Linked DNA regions of Struthio camelus. The protein of the gene in region 2 binds, or shares a complex with, the protein of the main gene of each other region. Links are inferred from orthologs where the notes say so. Each region holds a gene or a part of one and is shown on either strand. Other genes may lie near its edges. The genes, in order: MECOM, RBBP4, ZNF512B and BPTF.

The links.
Region 1: the proteins of RBBP4 (region 2) and MECOM are in contact, whole or in part, in a crystal structure (PDB 6BW3), measured with the Homo sapiens proteins. The link is inferred for Struthio camelus from reciprocal best matches to the Homo sapiens genes RBBP4 and MECOM. Residues at the interface, in NP_005601.1 of Homo sapiens: Ala39, Leu40, Glu41, Trp42, Pro43, Leu45, His71, Thr72, Ser73, Asp74, Glu75, Glu126, Asn128, Arg129, Glu179, Tyr181, Asp198, Val229, Glu231, Asp248, Glu275, Asn277, Phe321, Glu395, Asn397; in NP_001353395.1 of Homo sapiens: Met1, Arg2, Lys4, Gly5, Arg6, Ala7, Arg8, Lys9, Leu10.
Region 3: the proteins of RBBP4 (region 2) and ZNF512B are in contact, whole or in part, in a crystal structure (PDB 8TX8), measured with the Homo sapiens proteins. The link is inferred for Struthio camelus from reciprocal best matches to the Homo sapiens genes RBBP4 and ZNF512B. Residues at the interface, in NP_005601.1 of Homo sapiens: Ala39, Leu40, Glu41, Trp42, Pro43, Leu45, His71, Thr72, Ser73, Glu126, Asn128, Arg129, Pro145, Glu179, Tyr181, Glu231, Asp248, Glu275, Asn277, Asp318, Glu319, Phe321, Thr338, Lys376, Glu395, Asn397; in NP_065764.1 of Homo sapiens: Lys419, His420, Arg421, Arg422, Lys423, Gln424, Pro427, Lys428, Lys429, Phe430.
Region 4: RBBP4 (region 2) and BPTF share a complex: the UniProt entries of both Homo sapiens proteins name them as parts of the BPFT-SMARCA1 complex. The link is inferred for Struthio camelus from reciprocal best matches to the Homo sapiens genes RBBP4 and BPTF.

The regions. Positions count from the first base shown.
Region 1 is NC_090950.1:28,162,125-28,170,040, reverse strand, and holds the start of MECOM (histone-lysine N-methyltransferase MECOM), read right to left. Parts: upstream 3,015-7,916; 5' UTR 2,833-3,014; coding exon 2,796-2,832; exon of another isoform or gene 2,792-2,795; intron 1-2,791.
Region 2 is NC_090964.1:8,465,253-8,472,366, forward strand, and holds the start of RBBP4 (histone-binding protein RBBP4), read right to left. Parts: upstream 3,003-7,114; 5' UTR 2,845-3,002; coding exon 2,829-2,844; intron 2,652-2,828; exon of another isoform or gene 2,158-2,651; intron 1,746-2,157; coding exon 1,598-1,745; intron 875-1,597; coding exon 729-874; intron 1-728. Other genes in the region: ZBTB8OS (protein archease), read left to right, coding at 4,908-4,995, 6,453-6,477, 7,112-7,114. UniProt on the Homo sapiens protein: Core histone-binding subunit that may target chromatin assembly factors, chromatin remodeling factors and histone deacetylases to their histone substrates in a manner that is regulated by nucleosomal DNA.
Region 3 is NC_090959.1:17,626,145-17,633,106, reverse strand, and holds the start of ZNF512B (zinc finger protein 512B), read right to left. Parts: upstream 3,017-6,962; 5' UTR 2,957-3,016; intron 2,473-2,956; exon of another isoform or gene 263-2,472; 5' UTR 131-262; coding exon of another isoform or gene 124-130; intron 1-123. UniProt on the Homo sapiens protein: Involved in transcriptional regulation by repressing gene expression. Associates with the nucleosome remodeling and histone deacetylase (NuRD) complex, which promotes transcriptional repression by histone deacetylation and nucleosome remodeling.
Region 4 is NC_090960.1:4,481,996-4,489,462, reverse strand, and holds the start of BPTF (nucleosome-remodeling factor subunit BPTF), read right to left. Parts: upstream 3,003-7,467; 5' UTR 2,769-3,002; coding exon 2,129-2,768; intron 1-2,128. UniProt on the Homo sapiens protein: Regulatory subunit of the ATP-dependent NURF-1 and NURF-5 ISWI chromatin remodeling complexes, which form ordered nucleosome arrays on chromatin and facilitate access to DNA during DNA-templated processes such as DNA replication, transcription, and repair.

The DNA.
Region 1 (7,916 bases), on a different chromosome or scaffold from region 2:
AAGTGGTGATAAAGTGTAAAAGTAACAAGTGCCTCCTTATTCACGTGTGTTCCCCTAATCTGATCACCTTCTGTCTCTTTATGAGGCTACTGGGTGGCTCGGGGCTACCCCTAGGCTGGCTGCAGGGATCCGGCAGCGTGCGGGCTTGCGGCGGACCCGTGCTGGGGCGGGGGTTATTCAGGGATACGATTTCATCAGGCGGGCACAAACTCAGCAGAGCAGAAGAGCAGCTGCCCCGGGTGCAGGGGTCCTGCCCCAGCGGAGCTCGGAGCGGGGCCGCCGCACAGGTGCAGCGCGGCTGCGGGCGGCCGGGCCCCGCACGCCGGCCCCGCTCTGCCGCGCCGCCGGGCCGCGCTCCGCACACCGCTCCTCAGCAGCCTGCCTTCCAAAAGTGTGGGAGAGAGAAAGATTTTACCTCGTCTTCTCCCTTATTTTTGCAGCCGAGCATTTAGAAAATTAACTGGCTACTCCCAGCGTGGCTTCTTTTGTTTTTTCTGATTTTTTTTTGGGGGGGAGGGGATCCTTTAAATTATTTTTTCAATTTTACACAGAGGCTAAGAAATTGCGCTCTTCAGGTATTCTCCCTTAATTGCAAGCAAAAAGCTTTCCTGAATACTAGCGAAAAATCACACAATCGGGGCGTTTTTTACTTCACGCACAAAGAAGTAAAAGTGAAATAATAAAAGAATTGCATTTGATCCCAATTTATATGATTTTCCATGTAATAGCGTGAAGGCTACAAAACATTTTCTATTCACAGCCCAGAAAGAACGAATTGAAAAACTGAAAACTTTTCTTGCTGAACGACTAAATTCCAGGGTCGCCTACAACCCTCCTTCCACTTGCCATGAAACTGAGACGCTCTTCAGGGGAAAAGAAACAGTGTTTCAAAATACAAAAATCCCAGCTTTTTAAATATGATTTCCTTTATGAGCGGATTGTAACTGAAGGATTATATAATGCAACGCATCTGTCTGGGGGAAACTGCTGTTGCAGCAGCGAAAGCCAAGACATGCAGCCCAAAGAAGAAACTTTTTTTTTGTGTAAATGGCCAAATCTATCCCTGCAGAGCAGCGGCAGCAAGAGCAGCCTTGCAACGTTATACATGAAAGAAAAGGAAGGGAAAGAAAAGAAATCCTGACGGTTTGGTAGGGGACGTGTCACTCTTTTTACATAATTAGCCCAAAAGTAAGGTTGGCAACCTGGAGATTTAATAACATATTTGTATTCAAATCGCCTTGCGCTGGATTATCCACTTTTAAATCACCTAATCAAATGCAGGTTGTTGCTGTTATTGTTAAGCTTCAAAGAAAAGCTGATGATGATCCAGAGATATTTTGCTTCCCCTTTTCCACGCTGCTCTATTTTTTCCCTTAACAAATAAAGAGTAAATAAGCATCTGCTTTTTACGTCACGCAACTTATGCAACATTTCATCTGACTTTTTTTTTGCCTGCCCATTTTTTCAGTCGAGAATGTAAGCTGCAATCGGCATGAATTTCAAGCGAAGCTTGCCCAGATGTGTCAGTGAAAATAAAGACATCAGCTGCTTTTAAAATAGGACGCGAAAGCTGGCGAAGTTTTGTTGTTGCTTCCCTCTTTTTTAAAAACACTGCTGCAGTTAAAAGCAAAGATCCCTATCATAAAGGAGAAACAGATGGAGTGAGCGTAAGACAAATAATTAAATAAATCGGCATTTGCGTGTCGATGGCTGAGACCTAGCCTAGCAGAATAGAGACCTTTGGGCGGCCAAACTGTATAAAAAGTGCTGGAAAGGCGCCTGAAATTACAACATTTAGATCAACTTTTAACGGGTGACTCCAGCAGGCTGGGAACTGCTCCGCGGTGTCCGGCGGCCCCGCTCCCCCCGGCGCGGCCCCTTCCACGCGTCCACCCGGCGCATCCCGGCGGAGCGGGGCGGCGGCGGGCGGCTCCCGCTGGCCCCGCTGCCCCGCGCCCGGCCCCGCCGCCGGCCCCTCCCGCGGGGGCCGCCCCGGCTCCGCGCTGCGACCGCACCGCTCCGCGCTGCGCTGACAGCGCCTGCGGGGCTGCGCGCTGGGGACCACCAGGGCTCCCCCGTGCACAGCCTCCTTGCAGCACAGCGGGCTCCCCACGCGTGCGCCGCTCCCGTGTCCGCTTTGGCTTGATTTTACCCGGCTACGCATATATAAACATATATATTGTTTTTTAATATTTTTCTGGCACAAGCCGGCAGCCGACCAGCCCTCGAGGCGGGCAGGGCCAGGGGGGTCCCCGCGAGCTCTGCACCGGCAACTTGTTCCCGAGACTCGCCGCCTTCCCCCGCAGCCTGGAGCAGACCTGCCGCTGGCTCCCCCCTCCCCACCCTCCCGTGTGCATGGATGTACACACACACACACATATACACACACACGCACACACACACACACACACACACGGCCCCCAGCCCTTGCAGACAGCCGACAGCGCCCACTATAGGGCCCGGAGCCTCTCGCAACCCCCCCTTCGACCCCCCCCTCCAGCCCCCGGCAGCAGCAGCAACTTCCAGCGCTCGCCACTGAACTTTTCCTCAACTCCTTCCCCACCTCCCGCCGGGCGCCCCGCAGCCCCCAGGCCGGCTCCCGGCGGCCGTGGCCCTCGGCCCCCCGCGCCCGGGATGCTCCGCCGCCCGCCGGGACGGCTCCGGGGCTAAGGCCGGGGCCGGGCCGGGCCGGGGATGCGGCAGGTTGCCTGCGAGCTCCGCGGCGCATCAGACATATCATGCAACATGGCAGAGAGCGAGGGTGAAAAGCCAAGAGAAAGGGGTATTGCACCTACTTGCGGCCAGCTTCCTTGCCCTGCCTTTGGATCGCATGCTGCCAGTCCCGCGGCCGATGCTGGCGGGGGGGCCTTTTTTTTTTTCCTCCTGGAGCTTTTCCTCCTTTTTCGCTCCCCCTCTCCCTCTCTCCTCTCCCTCTCCCGCACACACACTCTCCCTTTCTCTCAATCCCGGCTCGCTATCTCTCCAGCATTGTCAGTTTGGACACCTTCGCACATGCGCACGGGCGGCTCCCCCCCGCTCTTCAACATTTCAGCGCCGCCAAAAAAAGTTTGCAGCGATCCATCACCGCCGGTGGGGACCCTGACAGCCGGCACCGGGGCCGGGCCGCGCCGGGGCCGCCGCGCCTGCTCCCCCGGCGCCGCCCGCCGCCCCGCCGGCGCACGGGGCGCGCTGCGCCAGCGGCCCCTGCCCCGTGCCGCGGGGAGCCGCCACCGAGAGCGCGGCCGCGGCGCGGGGGTGCTGCCGCCGCGGCGGGCAGCGCGCTCCGCGTGCCGGCGCGCCCGCGAGTCTTTACAGCGGGAGAAGTCTCTTTTGCTCCCGCCGTGGCAAGAGTAGGAGAGTGGAATAAATTACGCTTTCTTGCTGGCTTTTTATATAATATTAATGCTGCTCTGGCGTCTTTGCAACATTTAAGTAGTGTATTCTCATCCGGCCGCAATTATCATAGATCTCTGCGTATATATAGACGGGGAGATATAGTTTGATTATGTATGCATATCATTAAATTGTACACTTCTCCAGCGCACCCACTTTCCCCACCTTGAACTCGGCTCAGCTACCACCAGTTGGGCAGAAAAAGTGCTTTTAAAACAGTAACACCGACCGCTCTAATCTGTTTTAATTACAGGGCTTGCCAATCAAAGAGAGAGCGTGCTGAAATTGGGAACTCCTTTAGGGGATGGCTGTGTCCGAGGTATGAATCAATCCAAACTACATATAGATTTTCCTCTGGTACAACCTCCTTGCATTAAACAGTTTTGTTCAATACCTTCCATGCGCTATTTATGTTCCCATTAATATCTGTTGCAAATCCTGCCAGACACCATAAAAGAAAATTACAATCTTTCAGACTCGGTGCTGCGCCAGTACATACACGCTGCTCAACTTTTTGTTTTAATAAAATCCTCAGCATCGCCCCTTCCCCCTCCGCCCGGCTGCCCGTGCTGCGGATCGGGGCCGCCCGCCGCCCCCGCCCGCCCGCCCGTCCCCACGCCAGCCTTCCCCTCACGCCACGCCAAGTGGCCCCGGCACCCCATACGCGAGAAATACGCAGCTCCAGTGCCGTAGGGCAAGGGGACCATTTCTCACACGCTTTCCCCCCCCCCCCAAACATCCAACAGAAAGGCGCAAGTACTCGAACTCGCTCTGCAAAGCCGTCCTGATGCCCGTAATTATTTTTAATTTGCAAATAGGACATTTTTAGGATCACGCAGCTGCTGAGTGACCCCAGCAGTCGAGCAGGGGCTTAGCTAAAACCTCCCGCACCTCGAGCCGGAGGAGAAGGAGGAGAGGAAGGGCAAGACTGTGCCCCGGACACCCACGCTGGACTCAGCCCTGCCCACTGCCCCAAACACCTCATCCCCGTCCCTCTCGCAGATCTGCAGCCCCCGGGGGCGCCCGGCCCGGCCAGCCCCGGCGGTGAGGGGCAGGTGCTGCAGCTGGGCCCCCCTGCCCTGCACTGAGACGGCTGCAGGCGGGCTGGGGTTGCCCCCGACCGGCCGCAGGGCACAGGGTGGCCGCCGGGCACCGCGAGTGGGCGCTGGGGATGCTCGGGGCGGGGGACGGAGACGGCAGGGGGACCCCAGGCTGCCAGGGCTCCCCTTTGAGCGTGGGCATTTTCCGACTCTAAGCTTGCTCTCCTCTCTCACGAAGAGGACATTTCCGTTGGCTTCTTTAAAAGGGTGTCTTCAAAACGTCCTCCCGGAGCGACCTGCGGGCAAATCGAAAACGCTCGGGAACCCTGCAAAGCTTCCCCCCTCTCTCTTTTAAACTAAGCCCCTGGCGAAGCCTCTGCACGGGGAGAGGTGTACTGTCCTAGCTCTGCCGCGGATCCGCAAGTCAAGCCAAGCGGCAGCCCCCCGTACTTTCGATTGCTCTGCAAGCCCACCAGGGCTAACGAGTCCCCTTCCCCGCCAACAGCACACCCGCGCGGAAAGCACGCGTGGGTGCCTCGCGACGGCGGCCGGGCCGCGTCGTGCCGTGACGGCGCAGATGCGGCTTTCCCGGGCGGGCAGCCCTGACCCCGGCAGCGCCTGCCTGTCACCGCCACCTGCCCGCCGTCCCAGCGGCCCCGGGAGCCCCAGCAGGTGCCTCGCCGCCCTCCGGGGCACCCGGCCCCCGCCTCGGGCTGCCTCTCGGCTGCCTCCCGCCGATTTCCTGCCCTCCCGGTAGCCCCGTCCGTCGCACACCGCAGCCTCGCCAAGTTTGTCCCCCTCCCCGAAAGCTCCCTGCGAGACCCCCGGGAAATCCGTTTCATTCCTGCGGGGAGGCTTGTCCGCGTTTCTAGCCCTTAGCTCCCTCCTGGATGGGAAAGCGCTGCTTAGTGAAAGCCGGAACGGTCGGGCGTGCGTGGATGTGTGCTTGTTTTCAGCAGAATCATGGTCAACAAGATTTTTTTTTTTTTTTTGAGGGGAGGAATTAAACCTATTTCTAATTCATGCTGGGAGACCAAAAACACCCCCTCACACACAGGTTTCAATGCATTCTCTATAACAGGAAATTTTCTCTTCCTTGCATTATAATTGAACAAGCCTACTTGGAGAAAAGTTGGAATTCTTCATCGAGGTATTTGTTGTGCTATTGTCTTTGTGCAGTGAACTTTACATCGTGTTATTCAATCTCAATCTATATTCTCCTAGCTACCAGTAAGATTAATTTAATCATTGTAATGCAATTATTAATACTGTTTACCCAACGCTTGATTTCAGGTTTGCTGTTAAGAAATTAAGCTTCTTGCTGGGTGACCAAAAAGCTATGCAGGGATTTCCAGTCTACGTTGAAATGAAACAGTCCTCTTTATTTAGTCTCAGAACTCCAGCTTTCAGCCATGGCTCAATTAGCCAAAATGGAAACAATTTTCATTCATTGCAATAACTCACTGTTCTGCTGATCACTTTCAAAATATACACTTTATTATTATATGCTGACCTCAGTGCCGCGAAGTGGCAAGGCTAGAAAGAGGCAGAGGGATCTCTCCAGCCCCCTTGGGCTGTAATTATTAGAAATTAATTGGGTTCAGGACCCTGGGTAGCATGGGTAAATTAATAGCTTGTCTGGTTGTTTAAATCCGAATTCTCAGTCCACAGGAGAGAAAGGGAGGGAGGCTCACAAACGTGAAATCCAGCCCCAAGAGACAGGAGTTTGCTTGTGCCTGCTGAACACCAGCGCACAGCGTAGCCCGGCGAGGGCTGGGGGAGTGGGGACCCTTGGAGTTTATTTTCCTCCTCATTTTCGCCAATGCATTGTTTTCGGGGAGCTATTTAGGGGTTAAAATAAAAAATAAAGATCCTGTGTACTTGGAGCTGTCGTGCGGGAGTAAAAGTGAAAAGGGAGCCTTAGGCAAAAGGAAATTACTGCAAGCCCGCGTGACCTTTCCGAGAGGTAATCAATCAAGTGATCAACAGGGATATTTATCATTGCTAGATGGGGCTACTTTACAAATGCATAGAAGGGGGAGCACGGATATACACACACACACTCGCACGAAAGTTTGGATAAACCCGATAAACCTGAAGACAAATACGTAGACTTTAATCAGCGGGAAGATTGCGCATTTTCTTTTCTGAGCTCCAGAAGGAAAGGAAGGGAGAAAATCACTCGAAAGTTTCCCGGTAAAAAAATACCTCCTGTACTAGGCGGTCACATGGAAGCTGTCCACTTTGCTTTGCAGTCCTGGGAAAGGCTGGGAACGACAGATGTGATTAAAAAAATCTCAAATACAAGGGAAAATATTAGAGAGAGATTGAGGCTTTGATAAGCAGGGTCGGTGTTTGTTTTTATGTAATATGTTTTTATTTGCTGCCTTGAAACTCGGAGGCTGCGGAGCCCAGCGCTGCCTGTTTCTAGTCGCCGAAACGGTTAACTCCGAAAACAAAACAAAACAAAAAACATGCCCCCTATTATACGAAATCAGCGATCTGGTTCAATTAAACTTGCTCTCCGTAGCATAAAGCATCCACCACAATACAGGCAATGAAAACCAACAATAAAAGCAACATGCATTTTCTGCACAGTTTCCTTCTCCCTTGTAAAACATGCCGTCGTGTAAGCACCACACATTTAATTTTGCTTCCTATAACTTATCGGATTCCGTAACAAACCTATTCTGACCACTTATTTTTTTCTTTTGCACTGTGCTTCACGCCCACGCATGCACAAAGCCTCCCTATTTTCGTGCACTGCTCGCCCTCTTGTCTTTAAACGACTTTAAACCGGGGGAGCAAACGCCGGACTCCCCGGTGCCACCCGGTAACTATTATTCTACCACCCCTTGGAGAGAAGTTGGCAGCTAACAATTGCTGCGCGCCATCAGGGCGCACGCAAGCGGCCGGCCCGGGCTGCGGCTGCAGCGCGGCTCGCTGCGCGCAGAAAGAGCTGGGGTGCTGGGAGGCGCTGCCGGGAGCGCGGCTGCCGCCGCCGCGGCTCGGGCTCTCCCCGGCCCCCGCGCGCCGCTGCGCCGGGCACCGCGGGGCCCCGCGGTCTGCGGCGCCCCCGCGCGGCCGCGACGCGGCAACGCAGGGCCCCCGGGCCCTGGGCCCACCGGCTGGGTAGCAGCCCGCTCGCCCGCTCTCCCCCGGAGCAAGGGCTGCCCCGACAGTGGGTTTCTGCTCTCCCGACTGGGGTTCTGCGGCATCTCTCTTTGGTCACACAGGCCTTTGAGAGGATAGTTAAGACTCACATGTTGACAACTGTCAGGAGCAAGTAAGAAAATTAGCCGAGAGTGAATTTAACGGGACATTATGCATTTATAGTCCAATATAGACACTTGCCAGATAGCAAAACTTGCACTAAGTTTCCAGCAGACCTGGAATTATCATGTCCCTGGCAAGAGCATCCCTGGAGTTAGTAAGAATAGAACACATTCAGAAGTTGAGGTACAAGTACAAAACAGCAGTAAA
Region 2 (7,114 bases):
AAGATATTTATTAGACAACACTGTGTTCACAAATAACTCTAAGAATCTGAAGGATCAAAACGTCACTCACACAATCCAGGCTTCTGGTCAAAAGAACAGCTAATGGCTGGATCATTAAGGACTTTCATTATGTAAAAGGATTGATTCAATCAAGTAAAAATGAGAAATGCCTAACTAGTAGCAATGCTGACAGCCAACGAAGATTACGGAAAGCAGAGAATCCAAGCCTGATATACTGAACAAAATACAATCATCTTTTTATCCAAGAGGGACTGGCACAAATATCAGGCAGCAGAATTCAAACTGGAGAAGAACATTTGAAATGTTACACTCATCTAAAATAAACTCAGTGAGAAAGTCACGTATGCAGAAGAATACTTTATGTAACACAAAAGCAATAATAAAAGAATAATAATCAGCGCTGCATGAAACTCAATGCCAACGCATGATGAGGATAAGGAAGGGGGAGGTCTTTTCCTCATGTATTTTTACAGTAAGCGTACCACCTCCTTTCTTCAAAATGATATTAATAAGACATTATGTACGCACATGATACATTACATTTATCTGTTAATTAAGGGTACAGCTTAGAAATCAATTGGTTTGTTTCGTTTAGATGTAGTACCTGTGCTTTACTGCCTGAAAGCTAAGGAAAGACCAATATCCTATTAAAACAGGGAGGAAAAGATGGTTAAAACTCCACTTGGTTCGCACCTCTTGTCCCTTACCTCCTTTCTCACTATCATAGTGTGAAGCATCAAACTGTGCATCATCGTTAGGCAACTGCACACTAGCTATCACAAGATGATTTTGTTCATCTGAAGTATGGGTCCCCAGGACTAATCGGTGAATACTGAAATCTTTGCCCTCAGGTCTGGAAGAGAAGAGAATTACATGAGAAACAAAAGAAAGGGTTTACATAGACACTGAGCTTATTACGACACATTTTTTTTTTGTTGATTACAGCTTCTAACACTAGTAACACCTTTTAGAGTTACCCTTGCTCTCCCTGCTCCAAATCCTCTTCCTTCTGAGGAAGATCACTTACTCTAACTCCAGACAGATCTCAACTTGTAAGTCTCATAGCACAGTCCCTATCTCTAAATATCAGAAACAGATCCCCACCATTCCCTTGCCTTCTTTTAAGAGGCATTTGCAACGCTCCCATAGTAAAACTCTGAGGCATGTGAACATTAACTGCAAGCAGAACATTGGTCTGGAAGCTTAGGACAACGCCATGGTTATACTGCACAAGATAAGTTGTCCACAGCCTTTTGGTGCTGAAATTATGTTCACCCTTGTTTTTGTGGAGAGGGTTTTTCTGCTTCTAAAGGGTAGGGTGAAGCTGGAAAAAGAAAAGCTCCAAAAATCAAATGAATGAAAGTGCCTTCTCAATGATAAAGACATTTTTCCAAATTAAAAATGCCTATACTGCTTCTCTCTCCAGTGTTCAGTCCTCACCTTGCTCTTGGTAAGGCAAGGGAGCAAAAAGCTGATTCAAACCAAAAGCAATCCTATACGGTCTTACTTGAACAACAAGCAATCCTAAATTTACTCCTATCTCTTCCTCTTTAAAAAAATGAAAGGACCAGTTTACCTCGTTACATCAGGAAGCCATTGAGCAGTCAAGCTGGGCCATTCCAGAGCATGGGTCATTACCAGATCATATAAGAAGGGAGTATTCTTTTTCCATATTTTATATTCTTCATTGATCACACGTTCTTCCACTGCATCATCAAAGGCTGCTAAAGTTTGGGTTTTTTTTTAAATGCATAAAGTTAGCCTTTATGAACACGTTCAAAACATACACACAAACCTGTGAGCGGACATCAAACAACAAGCTAACTACAACATCACACTGGTTTGCTGGTACACTACTCTATTAGAGTAGTTACTAAATCATTCAAAATCCTCCGTTACACACGATAATCTTTGTTTCCACACATACGGCTTTGAACTAACCTTGATTATGTCAAACTGCATCATCTTAACACAAGAAGCATAGCAAAATTATGGAATATCGTGCCACAGGATATTGCAGAAACAAAGATTTGTGCATAGAAGATGAGTAAAGGGGGGAGGTCCAGCAACCATTGTTAAACACAGCAGTCCAGGTGCAGCCTTGACCTACTCAATTCGCAAAGTCTAGCAACCTACCAAGGCTCGTTCTGCGTTAGTATCTCTCACGCAGTTTCCCCGACCATCTGCTGCTAGCCTCTGCTAGCGAAGCAAGTCTAAGCAGACCTTTGGTCTGGCTCGGTTACGGTTTGCGCTGCTGAAGAGCAGAGGCGGCACCCGAACCGCGGGGACCCAGGCACCGCGGCTGGGGGGGGCCGTGACAGGCCCTTTGTTTGCCCTAGGCGCACGGCACGGCGGCCCGCCCAGGGCACAAGCCGAAAAAGACCTTCCCGAGGGCCCGCTCCGTTTCGACCAGGCCGCTCGACTCCCAGCACGCTGTCACCCTCCTCGGGAAATAAATAAATAAATACATAAATAAAATAAAAATAAGTAAATGAGTCCCCTCCTCCTTCAAACGCCACCCAGCCTGGCGCGGGGACAAGCGGCTGGAGGAGGGGGGGGGGGAGAGACCTCGGCGGCCGGGACACCGCCTCGGAGGCCGCGCGGCCCCCCCCCCCGCCTCACGGCGCGGCGCGGGGGGGGGGGGGGGGGCGGACGCCCCGGTGGCCCCCGCGCGCCCCCTGGCGGCCCCGCCGCGCCTCGCGCGCTCCCCTCAGGCCGGCGGCCGTTGTTGGGGGGGGGGAGATGGGGGGGGGCTGCCCCGCGCCTCACGGAGCCCTGAGGGGAGAAGGCCGCGCCCCGGGCCCTACCTTCCTTGTCCGCCATGGCGGGGCGGGGAGGGGGCGCGGGGCGGCTCCGGTGCGCGCGCGCGGCGGCGGGGGCGGGCGGGCGGCGCTGGGCGAGGCGGGCGGCCGGCTGCCGGGCTCGCTGCTCCGACCCCTCCGGCCGCGGCTCTATTGTTTCCTGCCCCCGCTGCGTGCCGCTCCGGCGCCGCGCACCCCTTCGCGCGCCAACGCCGGCCAATCGCCGCCGGCCGCCGGGCCGCGGCCGCCAATCCGCGCGCGGCACGGGGCGGGGACAAGGGGCAGGCGAGCGCGCTCGGCGGTCACGTGGGAGGGGGGCCGGGGAGAAAGCGGGGGAGGAGTGGAAGGTGCTGTTGAAGCTCCCGTGGGAGCCGCCATTTTCCGGAGGGGAAGCGGGCGGGTGTAGCGCGCCCCTCGCTCAGCCCTTAAAGGGCCAGCACGCAGACCGGAGCCGCCGCCGCCCCCCAGCGCTTCACCCCCCCCCCCCGCCGCCGACCGGGCCCCGACGGCTCCTGAGCGAGGCTCCGGCCCGGGACCGGTGCCGGGAGCACCGTTGTGTGGGGGGTTCCGGCCCAGCACAACCCTTCCTCCCCAACGGGTGGCCCAGCAACCTCCAGAGCATCCTCCTGCCCCCTCTTGGGTTATTTATTGCCGATAATTACTAATAACTTCCTTTTTTTTTTTTCCCATAAATCCCTGCAGAGACGGGCCATTAGACAACCAGACCGGTGTATAAGCCAAGCCTGATTAGCCGCGGATAACCTGGCACGATCAGTTGTGGATCTGACCGGCAACAGTCAAGGAACAGGTTTAAAATCAAAATGTACGCACGCCTGGTTTTGTTCCCCCCCCGAGCAGCACGAGCCTCCCAATTTCAAGCTCTTTTCTGTCCCATATAGGCCTAGTTGCTTCTCAGAAAATGGAAGTTGGGAGGCCTGTACCATCTTGTCATATCCAAGACTGGCAATAAGAACCGCAAGTTGGCCCTTACACTGAAAATTGGGGGACTTGGTGGTGTTATGTGTCTTCTATAAATCTATCGTTCCCATTATTTGGGGAAGCTGTGAAAAAATCTTACTGTGCACAAAAATATTAAGAAGGAGCAGGAATGACCACTTTGTATGAAAACTTGCAGAGGTCTAGTCTGAATGAAATTAACGGGCCTGAAGTTGATTCGATTATGAAGTTTGTGTCTGATAGATTTACAAATGAAAAACTTGTATGAAACTCAGGGTCTGGTCTGAGAATTTTAAGCAGAGAATTGATACAGTTCTTTATTTAAAAAAAAAAAAAAGACAAATTTTGCAAGCAAATGAATATAGGAAAACCTCTGTGCTTATATGAGAGTCATATTTACCATGCATGTGGATGCCAGCATTGAAGCTTTAAATGCTGTCCCTGTCCTAAGAGGTAATTAAGCTTTTTTCTAGAGAAAAGTCATACTTGAGGGCTACAGATCTTTCCTCCTGTCACGTCCTGTGGTTGGGAGGCAATGCATATTTCAGATTGCTGTGTCACATTAGCGGGCTGAGTAGGCTCAACAGTAACATGTAGTAAGAGCAGAAGTTACGTGAAGCGTGACAGTTTAATCCATTTTACTGCTGTTTGATTATTTTTCATTATTACAATAGTTTATTATTTGACAATGAATCAAATGCGTGGTGCTGTATGCAACAGAGAAGCTGAAACATGGTTCCTGCTGCAAGGAAGCCTGAGATCTTTGAAAAGGCCTAAGTGCGTTCTTTATGTAAGGATTGTAATTCTTTGGCTTCGCTGACTGAGCATGTTTAAATCGGTTAGTAAGGCAAGTGGTGGAGGACTGAGCTCTAAACTCCCCCCATCTCCCAGTGACAGTTTTAATAGCAAACAACTTAAAGATACGCATTTAAAATCTTGTTTTAAAAATGTAAGTGTGTGTACAACTGTTGCCAAACTGATATCAAGTGGAAGAACCTGAACTGAAAGGGAATTTTCCCTTTTATTACTAGCATCACACAGGAAGCCTGGCAACACTGAAGCATGCATGGAGGTGGCCATTTTTCATGAGACCAGGAAGTGAGTGACTGTTATTCAAGCCCAACAGCTATGGCAGGCGATGAGAGGGACTATAACCTGACAGAGGAGCAGAAGGCCATCAAAGCCAAATACCCACCGCTCAAGAAGAAGTATGAATGTGAGTATTTCTAATGCTACGCAGGCAGAGCGCACGTGTGACAGCGTAATTAGGGGGGAGGGCGGGGAGGAGGAAGGAAGTGAGCAGGATGCCGCTTTTTAGGCACTCGTGCGGTTTCTTAATATGCTGGTATCCTGTATTCAGGCTATGGGATGCATCTGTAGTTGAATGATAGGGATGAGATATCTAAAGTTGTATTTCTTGCAGATAAATGCTATTTCTGTCATGGGTGCTAAAGAAATCATGATATGAATAAATTAGTTATAAGTCTTAGCTTGAAAACTTTCCCCTTTCAAGCCATTTCTTAGCTAAGTAGTACGTTTTTCTCTACCTCTCTTATATAAAAAGAGATATTCAAAGAGCGGGTCGGTCTTTGGTGCTGCTGCTCTTTTTTTTCCTACATGCGCTACTAAAAGATCATTCTCTCTCCCTTTCCCCACCCCTGGAACGTCTTCTAAGAACCTCTCCAGTAAGTGGGTGTCAGCCCAAGGGCTAGATTCAGGCTCTCGCAGACCATTCGGTGTCTGACCGTCTTTCTGTTTGAGCAGTGTTTCTCTGGAGGGATGCTGTATGCTACCCTGTTAGAATATGTATTTTTAGGATGTGTTTAGATCTTTATTTGATAGCAGTGCAGAAATACGGTGACATACTACAATAGTCATGCTCCTTCCATAATTGGAAGAGGTTTTATTCTCCTTTTAAATCCACTGGAATTTGTTTGCTTTAGAGACAGTTGTTGAGAACCGTTAATAGTGTGTGGGTGACCTAAGCAGCATCGGAACAGTGTTTTAGCTGGAGTGATCTTGGCATGGCATTCATTCTTCATCCCAAGTTAGCTCTGTTTCTACCAACCTGGTATTATTTTGCACTTCTGGCATTCATCTAAGTGAATATGAATGCTGTTCATGTAAAACCTGATACATGCTTGGGATGTTAATCCTACCTTGTTAATGAAGATTAACTGTATGTTTTGTATTGCATACTTTTAAAATTCTCCTTTTTGCATAATGGGTGTTTTGGGTGCGGAGAGGCATATTTGTTCATTGAGCTGTAAACATTTGCAAAACTTATCCTCCACATAATTAGTATTCGGTCCTGCAGACTTCAGCAAAACTCGCTTATACCTGGTTAAAGTTTTTTTTCTATCGCAATTAACCTGCAGATCCCTGTTGCCTTTCAACGGCCATATCTTGTACACAGTGCTCTACGCACAGGGCACTAATGTAATTTATATTCAACACTGTTTTTCTTCTATCAAGCTTGGCAGAAACAATCCAAGATTTCTCTTGTGCTAACCTTTTCTAGTATCCTGGAAAATAAAGATTATCACTGTTTGATGTGTCAAGATGAATACAGAAAGTTCTTGTTAAAACAATATCTGGTTTTATTTTGAAAAAATCCTTATTTTTAAAATGCATTTGGTGACTTCATGCCTTTTCTTTTTCCTCCACCCTCAGATCTGGATCACACAGCAGATGTGCAGTAAGTATGGGCAGCTGGGATTTCACAATATAACAAATCAATTATTTCTTATATTGCTATAAACCAGGAATGGCTATTGAAGACTGGTTTCAGATGTATACCTTTCGGAACTATGAAATGCCACACTCGCACTGGGTTTTTTGGTAGCCTGTTTCGTTTCTGCTCTTGGGAGAGCACAGAAGCATTGTGTTGTTTAGCTTCTCCTCCAATGTAATAATCCTGTGGTGCTTCAGATTATTATTTTATTACATTACTATTTTATTTAGAAATGTCTGTCAAAATGGGGCTTTTAATCTCCTTGCTTTAGAACCAAATTGCTTCCAAGTAGTCTACTTTTATATATATCAATTAGCCATAGTAAGGAAGGACGTTCCTGTTATCTGGTAAAACATTTATTTTCCATTTTCTCCCAAGAAGAAACTCTTCTCGTGTACTGCAAGAAGAAATATCTGTATCTATATATCTTTATCTATATCTCTGTGAAACCTTCTGCCCAAATGCATAGGTATAGAAAGGCCAGCATTTTTGTTCATTCACTTCTTTGCGTTTATTCTCATGTTCTGATATCTCACCTGTATAATACTTGGGGCGGGGGGAAGGTTACCGTCCCTTGAATTATCCTGTGTCTCTTTAGGTT
Region 3 (6,962 bases), on a different chromosome or scaffold from region 2:
GCATGCTGACACCAGACAACAGATTACATCCTGCGCCTTTAACGTGCTTTCGTTAAGTTTTGGTTAAAACCCTTTTGCAACTTACAGGGCAGGGGGGAGAAAAAGATACTGGCAGGTCCTTACTATGCATGGTGCGAGGACGCCTTACGCTCGTGCCATCGGAGCAGGGCGGCAGGCGGGGACGGGCCAGCCGGGATGTGCCGGGAGCACACAAACCGCCACGTGGGCTCACGGATTAACCTTCTGGCTCAGCTTGAGGCACCTGGGGCAGAAGTGAGAGGCAGCATTTTTAAAGCATCCCATTCCCGCTCTGGAAAAAAGCAGCAGACCAACACAAGAGGCAGCCAAGGATGAGCAGCGGCCCGCACCGGCGCAGCTGCAAGGGACAGCTAATGTCACAGTCACTGCGCTTTCCCAGACAGGCTATTTTCTATTACAAACCACTCCTACAGCGGTGTTGGGCTCTGCCGGCTGGGTGCAGCCGCGAGCGCGCCGATCGGCACTTCGAGCAACAGCCGGGGAAACCACAGCGACGGCCTGGAGAGTTGGGTCAGTCTGACACAGACTGAAAAGGGGGAAATAACTCCATGCATAAATGCACATCCATTACCTTGGATCAAGTCAAGAGGAGCGCGCACAGAGCTGCACCTGAACGCTGCCTGTTTTAGCTGAGCTGGCAGGCTGGCTGCCATCCGCCAGCGGCTACCGGGATCCCGCTGTCCCCAGGAGGCTCATATGGCTACAGAGGGGGAAAAGCTGCCTGCAGGCTTTGGACATCAAGTTCTCCTGCTGAAACTGCTGCACGGGTCCCGTTGCTAAGGGTACAGCTCGTGCAGAGCGGCCCCATCACCAGTCGATACGCTCCACTTATCGCTAATAATTTGGGCTCCAAACGGCCCGTGGAGATGCTCAGGAGTGGGTAATGCCAAAACGGGAAGCGGCTGGCACGTCGCTCCCTGCTCGGCGCAGGAGCTAACGGCATGCCGAGGCCGGCGGCGAGGGAGGCCGCGAGGACACTGAGGCTGAAGGAAACCCAGCGGAGCTCCCGATTTCAGCCGCTCGCCCGGTACCTGAGGATCTGCTTTGTCTCAGCGCCGATTACCCTTTCTGCTAGCCTGAGAGCGAAACCGCAGCTGCAGCGCGAGGAGTCTAAGGTTATGCACTAGGAGACACTTCCTAAGAGTAAAGGCAAGGAACAAAATCCGAGCAAAAATCAGGGGCTGCTAGTTCCCACGTTGAACATCCCCCAGCAAAGGCACTCTTCAAGGAAATAATTCACATCAAGTAAAAACAGCATAAAGCTGCTGTCTTTCAGCCAAGTGACTATTTCTGGGCGTGGGTGAAGCTTTTGATGGTTTAAAGTTTCTGTTTGAAACACATTAGCAAGTCCCTCCCCCTCGCCCATCCTAAGGCACAAAAGCAAACGGGAAAAGCACACACACGCGCGCGCAGGAAAAAAAACCCCAGCAGACAATGAGCAGCAGTAACTTCATCTGATCCCCACTGCTCCTCAGGAGCCGGCGCCCCTCGACGGGGACGTCCCCGACCCAGCCTGCCCCGTCCACCGCGGGTCTCACCCCTGCCGCAAGGCAGTGGCAGCGGGTGCCCGCTGCAGTGACCAGGGCGTCCCTGGTGCCCCCTCGCCCTGGGGCGTCCCGAGCGCGACGGGATGCAGCGCTCGGTCCTGCCGTCCTTTCCCTAGGCCTGTCGGGGGCCCCCCCATCTGCCTGTCACCTCCCCGGCTTGACCATCCTGTCTGCCTGTCACCTCCTTGGCCTGGTTGTCCCGTCACCTCCCTGGCCATTCTGTCCTCCTGTGACCTCCCTGGCCTGACCATGCCATCCGCCTGTCACCTCCCTGGCTTGGCCATCCCGTCCGCCTGTCACTTCCCTGGCCATCCTGTCCTCCTGTGACCTCCCTGGCCTGACCATGCCATCCGCCTGTCACCTCCCTGGCTTGGCCATCCCGTCCGCCTGTCACTTCCCTGGCCATCCTGTCCTCCTGTGACCTCCCTGGCCTGACCATGCCATCCGCCTGTCACCTCCCCGGCTTGGCCATCCCGTCCGCCTGTCACTTCCCTGGCCATCCTGTCCTCCTGTGACCTCCCTGGCCTGACCATGCCATCCGCCTGTCACCTCCCCGGCTTGGCTGTGCCATCTGCCTGTCACCTCCCTGGCTTGGCCATCCTTTCTGCCTGTCACCTCCCTAGCCTGGTTGTCCTGTCCACCTGTCACCTCCCTGGCCTGGTTGTCCTGTCACCTCCCTGGCCATCCCGTCCTCCTGTCACCTCCCTGGCCTGACCATGCCATCCGCCTGTCACCTCCCCGGTGTGGCTCTCCTGTCCTCCTGTCACCTCCCTGGCTTGGCCACCCCATCTGCTCATCACCTCGCTGGCCTGGCTGTCCCGCTGCCTGTCACCTCCCTGGCCTGGCCGTCCCGTCCATCTGTCACCTCCCCGTCCGTCCCCAGGTCCTGTCACCTGCCTGGGCCGGACCACCCCACCCCTCGGCGACCATCCCACCTGGGCCTGTCCCCTCTCCGGCCACCTCCCCACCGGGCCACCCCATCGCCTGTCACCTTCCTTGGCCAGGCAGCTGCCCCGCCGCCACCCCCCGCGCCCGGCCGTCACCTCCCGGGGCCTGGCGGGGTGGTGCCCCCCCCCCCAACCTCCAACCCCCAGCGGGGCCCCCCGGTGCCACCCGCCGCCGCCTGTCACCGGACGGGGGGGGGGGGGGGCCGAGCCGGGCGCGAGGCGACACGCGCCGGCGGGGACAACAACAACAACAACAAAAAAAAAGGGGGGGGGGAGGTAAAAACGAAGGAGGCGAGAGGCGGCGGGAGTTAACGGAGGGAAGGCGGCGAGGCAAAATGGCGACGTCGGCCGCGGCGGGCGCGGGCGGCGCGGAGGGAGGCGGGCGGGGGAGCCCGGGCGGCGGCGGCCGCGCTCCGGCCTTACCTGGGCGGCGGCGGCGGCGGCGGCGCGGGGCGAGGCGAGGCGAGGCGAGGCGAGGCGGTGCCGCCCGCCGCCCCCGGCTGCGGGCCGCCGTGCGGGGCTCCCAGGCGCGGCGACACCCGCCGCGGCGGCGCCGCGCTCCGCTGCCGCCCTCGCTCGCTCGCTCGCTCCCTCGCTCGCTCCCTCCCGCCGCCGCCGCCGCGGCTCATGCGCGCTGCCCTGCCCGGCCCGGCCCGGCCCGCCCCAGCCCCCGCCGCCGGCCCGCACCGGCCCAGCCGCCCCGGCTCTCGCGTGGCTCCGCCGCCGGGCCGGGCCGCGGGGCGGGCGGGGGGAACCGCCCCGCGAGGGCGGGACCCGGGCGGTGCCGCCGCCGCCGCCCCGCGCTGCGCGGAGGGTGGAGGGGGGTGGGGGGGCGCTGCCGCCGGGCCGGGCGGGCGGCAGGTGCGAGAGGACCCCGCGGCGGCCGGCAGCGCCCCCCCCCCCCCCCCGCCGCCGCCGCCCCCCGCCGCCCCGCTCCCCCGCGCGGGGGGCGCGCGCACGTGCCCGTCCCGTCCTGTCCCTGTCCTGTCCCGTCGTGTCCTACCCCGGCCCAGACCAGCCCATCCTGTCGTGTTGCATCCCGTCCTGTCCCGTGCCACGCCATCCCCTCTGATCCCATCCCGTCCTGTCCCATGCCACGCCATCCCCTCTGATCCCATCCCATCCCATCCCGTCGTGTCCCATGCTATGCCATCCCCTCTGATCCCATCCCGTCCTGTCCCATCCCATCCCATCCCCTCTGATCCCATCCCGTCCTGTCCCATGCCACGCCATCCCCTCTGATCCCATCCCATCCCATCCCGTCGTGTCCCATGCCACGCCATCCCCTCTGATCCCATCCCGTCCTGTCCCATCCCATCCCATCCCCTCTGATCCCATCCCATCCCATCCCGTCGTGTCCCATGCCACGCCATCCCCTCTGATCCCATCCCATCCCGTCCTGTCCCATGCCACACCATCCCCTCTGATCCCATCCCATCCCGTCCTGTCCCATGCTACGCCATCCCCTCTGATCCCATCCCATCCCATCCCGTCGTGTCCCATGCCACGCCATCCCCTCTGATCCCATCCCATCCCGTCCTGTCCCATGCCACGCCATCCCCTCTGATCCCATCCCATCCCGTCCTGTCCCATGCCACACCATCCCCTCTGATCCCATCCCATCCCGTCCTGTCCCATGCTACGCCATCCCCTCTGATCCCATCCCATCCCGTCCTGTCCCATGCTACGCCATCCCCTCTGATCCCATCCCATCCCGTCCCGTCCTGTCCCATCCCATCCCATCCCCTCTGATCCCATCCCATCCCATCCCGTCGTGTCCCATGCCACGCCATCCCCTCTGATCCCATCCCGTCCCGTCCCGTCCTGTCCCATGCCACGCCATCCCCTCTGATCCCATCCCATCCCGTCCCGTCGTGTCCCATGCCACGCCATCCCCTCTGATCCCATCCCGTCCCGTCCCGTCCTGTCCCATGCTACGCCATCCCCTCTGATCCCATCCCATCCCGTCCCATCGTGTCCCATCCCATCCCATCCCCTCTGATCCCATCCCGTCCCGTCCCGTCCTGTCCCATGCCACGCCATCCCCTCTGATCCCATCCCGTCCCGTCCCGTCCTGTCCCATGCCACGCCATCCCCTCTGATCCCATCCCATCCCGTCCCGTCGTGTCCCATGCCACACCATCCCCTCTGATCCCATCCCGTCCCGTCCCGTCCTGTCCCATGCTACGCCATCCCCTCTGATCCCATCCCATCCCGTCCTGTCCCATGCCACACCATCCCCTCTGATCCCATCCCATCCCATCCCGTCCTGTCCCATGCCACACCATCCCCTCTGATCCCATCCCATCCCGTCCCGTCCTGTCCCATGCTATGCCATCCCCTCTGATCCCGTCCCGTCCTGTCCCATGCCACACCATCCCCTCTGATCCCATCCCCTCTGATCCCATCCCGTCCTGTCCCATGCCACGCCATCCCCTCTGATCTCATCCCGTCCCGTCCTGTCCCATGCTACGCCATCCCCTCTGATCCCGTCCCGTCCTGTCCCATGCCACACCATCCCCTCTGATCCCATCCCCTCTGATCCCATCCCGTCCTGTCCCATGCTACGCCATCCCCTCTGATCCCATCCCGTCCTGTCCCATCCCATCCCATCCCCTCTGATCCCATCCCGTCCTGTCCCATGCCACGCCATCCCCTCTGATCCCATCCCCTCCCATCTCATCCCATCCCATCCCATCCCCTCTGATTCCATCCCGTCCTGTCCCATGCTACGGCATCCCCTCTGATCCCATCCCCTCCCATCCCGTCCTGTCCCATCCCATCCCATCCCCTCTGATCCCATCCCGTCCCATCCCATGCCATGCCATCCCCTCTGATCCCATCCCCTCCCATCTCATCCCATCTCATCTCATCCTGTCCCATCCCATCCCGTCCCATCCCGTCCTGTCCTGTCCCATCCCATCCTGTCACATCCCATCCCCTCACATCTCATCTCGTCCCGTCCCATCCCATCCCATCTCGTCCTGTCCCATCACATCTCATCCCATCCCATCCTATCCCGTCCCATCCCATCCTATCCCATCCTATCCCAGCCCATCCTGTCCCAGCCTATTCTGGACCATCCCATCCTACCCTAGCTCATCCTGTCCTGCTCCTTCCCATCCTATCTCGTCCCATCTCATCCCATCTCGTCCCATCCTATCCCGTCCCAATCCATCCCGTCCCGTCCCGCGTGGCCGGGGGGCAGCGTCGGAGGGGCCAGGCCCCGGAGAGCCACGAGCCCCCGGGCGGGCGGCTTCCGCGCGTCGCCCCCGGGACGCCGGCCTGGCTCTCGCCCGCCGGGGGCGAGGCGCGGGCAGGGCTGCGAGCGCCGGCCGTGCGGGCGCGCATTGCTCCCGAGCTGCCGTGCTGCCGGACGTCGTTTCTGCCTGTCGAGCGGCAAGCGCGGCCGAGGTGCCGCCCCGGCGCAGGCCGCCTCCGAAGGGAATACCGCGCGCGTGCGGGTCGCGCCGCATCTCCCAGCGGTTATGTAGGAGGGAGCCGGGAGCCGCTCGGGAGGACGCGGCCCTTTCCCGGCCCCCGTCTCCCGGCGGGAGCGGGGCTGCGCGCCCATGGGACGGTGCCGGGCCGGACCTGCCGGTCCCTGTCCCTCTGCGTGAGAGATGCCACCGAGGGCGCTGGCCGGCGGCCCCCCGCACGGCGCCTGCCTGGACTCGCACCCCCGGAGGGACCGTTGCAATCGGACGGATGCTCCCACCGGGGGAGAGGATCAGGCATAGTAGCAGGCGTGGGGTGAGCGAATCCCTTTTTTCCCTCCGGCGGAGGTGACGACGTGCAGCGGACACCGCCGGGACACGACTGCGTCCTGCACAAGCAAGAGGCGCGCGCGGGGAGAAGCGGCCTGCGCGCAGGCGCGCTTGCGAGCCGGGCTTCCCCACCCGGCGCAGCCCCGGCCTCTTTGCAGGCTTTCCCGGCCCGGGCGCCCGCCAGCGACGCGCTGGGCTCCTCCGTTAGCACCTTGTGCCGCAAGCAGGTAAAACTCCCCCCGGGTTTTTCCCCGGTTCCCGCGCCCGGCAGGGCTGGGGCTCTGCCCGGCCGACGGCAGCCGGCGGTGCACGCCGCGGCGCCTGCCCCGAACCCGGAGCGGCCTCGCCGGCCTGGGCGCCGCGTGCCGTCGAGGCACCTCCGACGCGGGAGGAAAGGCTCGGTCCTCCCTGCTCCCAGGCCCTTGCAACCGGGGGCTGAACATGCTGCATAACCGAAGCGAAAAAAAAAACCCCAAGTTGGGAGTTCCCCCCCCCACCGCCCCAGTTTCCCTCTTTGTCTCCCTTCCGGGGGGGGAAAAAGCTTAATTAATGTCTGCGGAGAGCATGTAAAGCGTTGTGTAATTGCTAGGTGTGACGAGCAGCGGAGCGGAGGGCGATCAGCGGGCTCGGGGCCAGGCGAGCCCTCCTCCGGCGTGCGAAAT
Region 4 (7,467 bases), on a different chromosome or scaffold from region 2:
GCTTCGAGCCAAGACTGAACTAATCAGAAGTTCCAGTATATTGCCAAAACAACATAGGTGCTTTAACTATTAATCAGTTACTCAGTGCCAGAATACCATACACTCTATGGAATATTATGATTAAAATGCTTACATTTAAACTTACTTTAAAAAGCTAAAACTGAAGTTACCTTGATCAAGTGGAAAATAAGCATATAAATTATCAAAATGATTTCTGCTACTCAAATACCAATTAAGACTTGTCTACGCTTGCACAACAATGCACACAGAGATACTTTATTATTATTTGCCAGCACATTTCAAAAATCAAATACACCTGTATTTTGTAGAACTCTTTTTCAGCCTGGATTTTCACGTCAAAATATTTTCCTGACCTAGCCTCTTAAAGCGATAAAAATATTTTTTCCCTGACAAAAGCACCAAAAAGAGGTAGTCAGAATGAAAGTTACCACAACTAAACAGAAAATTAAGAGTTAAGAGAGAAGGTCAGAATTTTTCCTGTGAAGCTAGACCTCCATCTGTAAAGTAATAAATATCCAAAGGAATTCAATTTCATTGTAGTACATCCCTGCAACAGGTAAACTAGCACTAACACTTATTCCAGAAACAAACAAATAAAATTAATTCATTTAGTGACATACATACTTACTTTCAATTCCCTTAGGTTCCTAAGGATATGGATATAAATTTAAATATTTGCATATGTATATGTATAGTTACACACACCCAGTTTTTCAAAGGACTACTAGAGTATCAAATAATGGACTGATACCAGTAAACTCACTAAAACAACAACAAATGACACATTTAGTAGCCAGTACTTCCCCCTTTTTAAAAGTGATCTGCTAGCTACTCAAAACTACACACCTTAAAAAAAAAAAAAAGATGCAATGCATTTGCACAACCTGTTCCTCCCCCCTTCCAAGCTGGTCAAATACTTGTACAGCAACAGTGTTTGTTATCCTGGAGCCCAATTCAGCAACACATTCCCAGGTTATCCCCAAGTTTAACCAATGTCCTGGCTCAGAGACCAAAAAAAAAAAAAAAGAGAGAGAGAGAGAGAGAGAAAAGAAAATAAAAAGAAAACAATTAAAAAATTCTATGCCTGAACTCCATTCATTCTGGAATTAATTCAAATAAACCTAAAGTGCTTAAGTTCAGATAAAGAATTGTTGAGGCTTCAAACCCACATACCTAATGAACTAATTAAAGACAAAAAAGAATGCAGGCCCTGAAAAAAAAATTTAGCCCAAATTTGCCATTAGGTTAAAAAATAAAAAATTAAAAAAAAAATTTAATCACGATGTTAAAGACCTTTAAACCCCAATATGAGTTTTAAAGCTTGCCACATCTTAAAATAAATGCGGTGTTTAGAACCAAGACTTTTGACTCAACCTCCACCCTTTAATCTTTGTGTTTAAGAAAGCCTTATTAACTAAAACTAGGTTTACACCCTTGCAATGAGGCCCTGTGCACTTTTCCCCAAACTATAACAATGCAATCTCCATTTTGAACAATGCACCTCATTTCCCTCCTTGAAAAGCTAGTTTTGTCTTAAAGCCAATAAATGCTGCTTCCAGTTGTACCTCTGATTTCAAGAGCCTGCAAATTTTCAGTGTTTATGGGTTTTTTAGACTACTTCAAGTTGCATGTGCTTCTTTTCCTTATAACATTAAGTTACATTCCCAGGCACAAGCCACCCTCTCCTGTATATATTTGCAACCACTTCTTAGCAACGCATGCACCTCCTTTCCCTTGTTTTTAAATCCTAAGTGAACGCTCTATACACTTTTGACGTTGTTTGCAACACGTTCTGGTGTAGCACGCATTTCTGCGGCGACCAGAACCTCTATGCATATTCGCCAAGCATCCCCTCGTTGCAGCATGTATTACCCCTCCTCCTCCCTCCCCTGACTGCATGTGTGTTTGCAAGCACCTTCTAAGGTTCCCTGCATCCATGGGGTTGCCAGGCGTTAATTTGCATACCCCTCTCTCCCTGTGAGTGCTTGCAGGCATCCCTTACGATCTGCATGCATTCTTCCTCCCATGCGTGTACGTATTTGCAAACCTAGAGGGAGCATGTGGGGTGCCCTCGCCTCGTTTTTCGCTCATCCCACTGACTCTCTACCTGGGGTGCTGCTGTAGGTGCTGTGGCTCCTGAAGCTGCTCTCAGTGCAATAACTGGCATCGTCTTCATCCTCCATCTCTTCAGGGTAGTCAGAGTCGTCGTCGTCCTCCTCCTCCATGATCTCCTCCTCCTCTTCCTCCTCGGAGTCCTGGTTATCCTCGGGGTCTCCCTCCTCTTCCTCCTCGGACACCATGCTCTCCTCCTCCTCTTCGCTCTCATGATCGTCGTACACCACTTTGCTGATGCTCCTCCTGGACGAGGCAGCCCTGCCTTGGCTGTTGCAGCTGCCTCCTCCGCCTCCTCCCCCTGCTCCTCCAGCCCCGGCCCTGCCCCTGCCCTTACCGCTGCTGCCTCCCCCACCAGGGGTGCTGCTGCCGCCGCTGCCTCCCTTCCTCTTGCTGCCCCCCCTGGGGGAGGTGGCGGCCGAGGAAGAGGCCTGGGCAGCCCCGGCCCCCTTCTGCTTGGGCCCCGCCGTCTCCGCCTGGGCCGAGGTCGCCCACCTGCCGCGGCTGCTGCCCCGCTGCCGGGACCGCAGCCCCCCAATGGGGCCCGCCGGGGCGGGCGGAGCCGGGGAGCTCGCCTGAGTGCTGCCCGCCGCCGGCTGCTGCTGCTTGGGCGGCCTGCCTCGCCGGCCCCGCATCTCTGGGCGCTGGCCGAGGGGGGAAGGGAGGGGGAAGGAAGGCTCGGGAGGGCGCTCGGAGTCCGGACAGGCGGCTACGGGGAAGCTCCCCCCCTTGCGAGGGATCCGGACCGGGGAGGGGGGCCGCCGAGCTGTGAGGGCCGAGGGTTCAATCCGAATTGCCGGCGTCCCGCTCCGGATCGCCACCGGCCGCCATCTTGTTTCTTCGTCTCTGCCTCGGCTCGCTCCGCTCTGACTGGGGGAAGCGGCGGCGGCAGCAGGCCCCGAGCGCCTCACGTGACCGGCCGCGCCCAGCCGCCGCCGCCAGGGGGCGCCGCCGCCGCGCCGCCGCGAGAGCCATGTTGGAGCCAGCGCGCTGAGGCGGCTCCGCGCTCCCCCGCCACCCACCCCGGCCGCGCGCGCGCGCGCGCTCGGGGCTCCCGCCGCTGCGCAGCCCGCGCCGAGCCCCCCTCATCGCCCCGCCGCCTCCTTCCCCCACCCCCGGGATAAAGCTCCCTAAACCCCCCCGCCTTCCACCTGTCCCCAGGCTCTGCCTTCGGCCCCGCCGCGGGGCTCCCCTCAGCGCACGGGGGCGCCCCGCCGGCGGCGGTTCACCACCTCCCCCCGCCCCAAAACTGACCATCTTCCCGCTTAAATAACGACGCCCGTCACAGGAGCCCCGCCGCCGAGCTCGACCCGCCGGGTTGGGGGGGGGCCTCCCCCCTGCCCCGAGCTCAGCTGGCCGCAACTCCCTCGCGGGACAGCTGCGAAGGCAGGTAGGCAACAGGGCTCGTCCCGCCGCTCCGGCACCGGCCGAGGCCCCTGGCTGCGGCTCTGCCTTTTTGTTAATCCTGCAGAGCCGCCAGATCTCCCCCCCCCCACCTCCCCCGTTAGGCAGAAGCGAACAACACCCTCTTTACAACTCACCCTCGCCTGGCCACGGGCGGCAAAAAGCCGAAACGCTGAGGAAAACCACGCAGGACACACGGCCCCTCGCGTTGGTGTCCGGCCACTTGCCCCAGCACTGCTGCAGCACTGCAAGACCGAGATAGGCTGCACCTGCTTTGTATTCCCTCATGTGTTTCCAGTCCAGAGCCCCCAAAGGGCAACCAAAAAAGAAGAAGAAAAAAAGCCACCCTACAGAAACCAATTGCAGAACTGGGTTTCTAATACTGCCGTTGAATTCAGGGTATTGCTTTCCCAAGCAAAAGAGGTACAAGATGAAACCCAGCCCAAGGCATGAAAACCACTTGCATTTCCCACAACCAGCCCTTCTCCCTCTGCATTGGCAAAGGAGCCCAGAGAATCTAGTCTTCTGTTTAAGCAAATAAATGCCTTCGCGATGCACAACCTAGCACTGGTCACGCCCTGAGCATGCCAGTTGTACGTTCGATATTTAATTTAATTTGAATTCTTCCATAGATGTTTCTGAAGTGCCTTGTGTTCATAAAGTTGTTGCTCAGCCCAAGAACCTCATTAAACCCACAAACCTGCTGCATGCAGTGTCAAGCACGCAACAATGCCACAATGGCACCAGGCAGCAGGGTTTAACCTGATTTGCACTCTTACATCCAGCTTTTTATCTGCATCTCTTTTCCATTTGGTCACACTCTTTTATATTCAATAGTGCAGCTGCATAGGCTCAGAGCCATGTTCTAGACACAGTACCATCCAGACACAGTAACAGCGGTAGACAACATTGCTTAATTTAACTTACACCATTATACTCAATTTGTATTCTGAATCTTTCAAAGTTACCTTTAGTTTGCTTCCATCAAGTTGATTTTTTTAACCTCTCAAAGTTCCACAGTATTGTGGTAACTATTAAAATACATACTTACACAACTAGTCCTAAAGCATGCATCTGTGTGTTTATCTCCCTCTATGATCTTGGGGGGAAAAAAGTGTGAATTGTGCCATCTATGTATTGAGAATCTAGCAAAAAAAATCTAGTGTAGCTACTACAGAAAACATTCACACAGCCTGTAGCCTTAGGAGAACGTTAAGATCTGTGACATACGGTAGGTTTTGTGTACCTGTAGCAGATCAAAGGTGCTAAGAATCCTTTGTTTGCTTTTAAATAGCGTAAGGCCAAAATACATTGTTTCCTAATCCCACCTTTTAAGACTTGTTAGTCATTAATCTGGAAGTGCTTTACTGAATAGAACATCAGAATTATAATTTTATAGATGGGGAATGGGGATGCATTGACAGATATGTTAATTTTCACTCAGGACTGAAAAATTACTCCTTTCTAGAGCATAGCTTAGCACGGAGGAGGAGGGGAAAAAAAACCCACAACAAAACAACACACACAAATCATACAACCCCCCAACCTACTCACCTATCCTCGTCCTTTCCCAAAGACAAAACGCATCTCCATTAGGAACTTGAAGTTCACATATTAAATTTGCTAGTATAGTTAAATGAGCACATTTCTAAGTGAATACAGCAGGAGGAAAAATTTTAGGTAGGTGGTCCTAGGCTCCCTCCATACTCAAGATGGATGGAGAGAAAGACTCCTTTCAAAAGGCACTTTGGAAAAGATGAATAGCCTAGTTGTTCCAAGCTGTTGTCTGGATAGGTTCCTTTCTCCACTAGTAAAGGAAAGAACTTACGAACCTACAGTTGGATGGCATAAATAATCCAGCAAGCATATGCTCTTGCTTACATTACTGAGCTGCTTTTGTCCAGTCCTTCCCTCCAAATGTGTCACAACTAACACATACTAGGCACTGAACTTAAGTACCCTGCTCTAGAGTCCGTAACATGTATATTGGTAAGACACTGAGAGGTTGCTAAGTATTGTTAGAATAGAGCTCAGCTATAGACTAAAACTCAGCCTTAGAAAGCAAGGGCTTATGTGATTTTTGCTGATGTAATCTACATACTGATTGTAATTTTATTTAATATTACAAAATACATAAACTGTATCAATACACTGATATGCTGAATTATATTAACATTCAATCACATTATTTACAAAAATAAGTTTAAGTTGTTAACATCTGATCTGCTATTTTGGATGTAGACTGACAAACTGTCTTCACTGGGAGCTCCTATCCCCCGATAGCCCCTTTATTCAGTAGATACTTACACCTGTAATAGTGTCAACAAATGTTGCATTCATAAAATTTTGAGATTTGGATTTCACTTTTGACTAATCTAAAACAAACATATAATTTGGAATGTTTACGTTCTCCACATGCATAAACCTCAAGCTGTATAAAACAAGCAGTATGAAGCAGGTCAGCCTAACTTTATAGAAATTAAGGCATTCACCCTTTGAAAACGTATTTTTTAAAAAATGGACACCCTTGTAGGTAAGAATATTCTTATTTTAGTTAGGAGGTAAGTCATCTTGCTCAGAAAGTTTAACCTACTGCTGCCAGTGCCAAGAAGTACCACTCCAAATGATTCTTCAGCTGTTCAGTTTAGGTTTTTTTTGTTTTTAAATATATATATATTTCAGTCCTGACCTTTGATAAGAGTGGTGTATACAACAGGAAAGTGTTAATTTCCACTCTTAAGGCCTTTAACTGTGTGCATCTGTTTCAAAATCATACGGCTGAAGTCCAGTAAGTTATGCACCTAGTGCTTCAACCATAACAGTGTTATGTTCTAGCTCTTGCTAGAGAGGGGATGAAAATGCCAAGAAAATGCTATTGTTCATTCTCAGGCAACCTAAACCTTACAAAGGTTAAGAGTGCATTTATTCAAACAATGCTTTCCAGCATTTTGCTCCCAATGAAACTGGATGTCTCCTCAGTGTCCTATTATGTCAGCACAAGTCAGCACTCCCATAGAAAAAAAAAAAATCATAGATAAAAAGTTATTTTCAGCTAGGCCACTCTCCGTTCTAACCTAATGGGCAAGATATTTCTGCCAGCACTGCTCAGGAAGCAAGAATGGTAACTGCTTTTATGAATAGTATGGTCAGCTTAAAGACATGTCAAACTGAATCCAAAGTCCACTGCATTAAAGTCCACTGCATTAAATTTTACCTTAAGGTTATTTTAATACCTCTCTCTCCTCTTCCCCATGAGCTTCAAATTGAACACTGGTAACATTTCAAACAATGCATATTTAAAAAGACAAAACTATCTTGGATGCAATCTTTCAGCGTCAGAAAGCTTCCAAAGTTTCTAAAGCAAAAGTCTTAAAATACAGCTAGTTATACTGTAATCCAGTAACTGCATTCTGCAAGTCTGTGCAGGAGAGCATGCTCCTGAAGGGAGGTCTGTCTGCTTAAGAAAACAGTCTTTTCCTTCTTCAGCAGGAGGCAACCTCTGAGATAATAATAAGGATTGTAACAAGCTATCATATTAAATAACTGTACTTTGCTTCTTCATTTGAGGAAGGAATCTAGTTCCTGCCCTGTATCTCTTCCTTCTCTATAGCTGTAGACAACTTCTGGATGCAGGTGGTCTTATCAGAATGAGATTCACCAAAACAGCTTTAGATTATCACGGTATAGGGCTCGTAACTGCTAGCTGCCGCACAAACCTCCTGCACCCCCAACATCTCTGCTTCAGAACAATGTAACAAGGTTGGATTAGAAAAAAAAAAAAAAGGGGAGGGGGCACAAAATGGAGGTTGGACTAGAAAAAAAAAGGGGAGGGGGCACAAAAATGGTACAGTAAACTAATTGTGGTACTATAATGTCTAAGAGAGAGAAAGCAGTGCAAGTTAGGTACCAACCCTATACCCATGCTTAAGT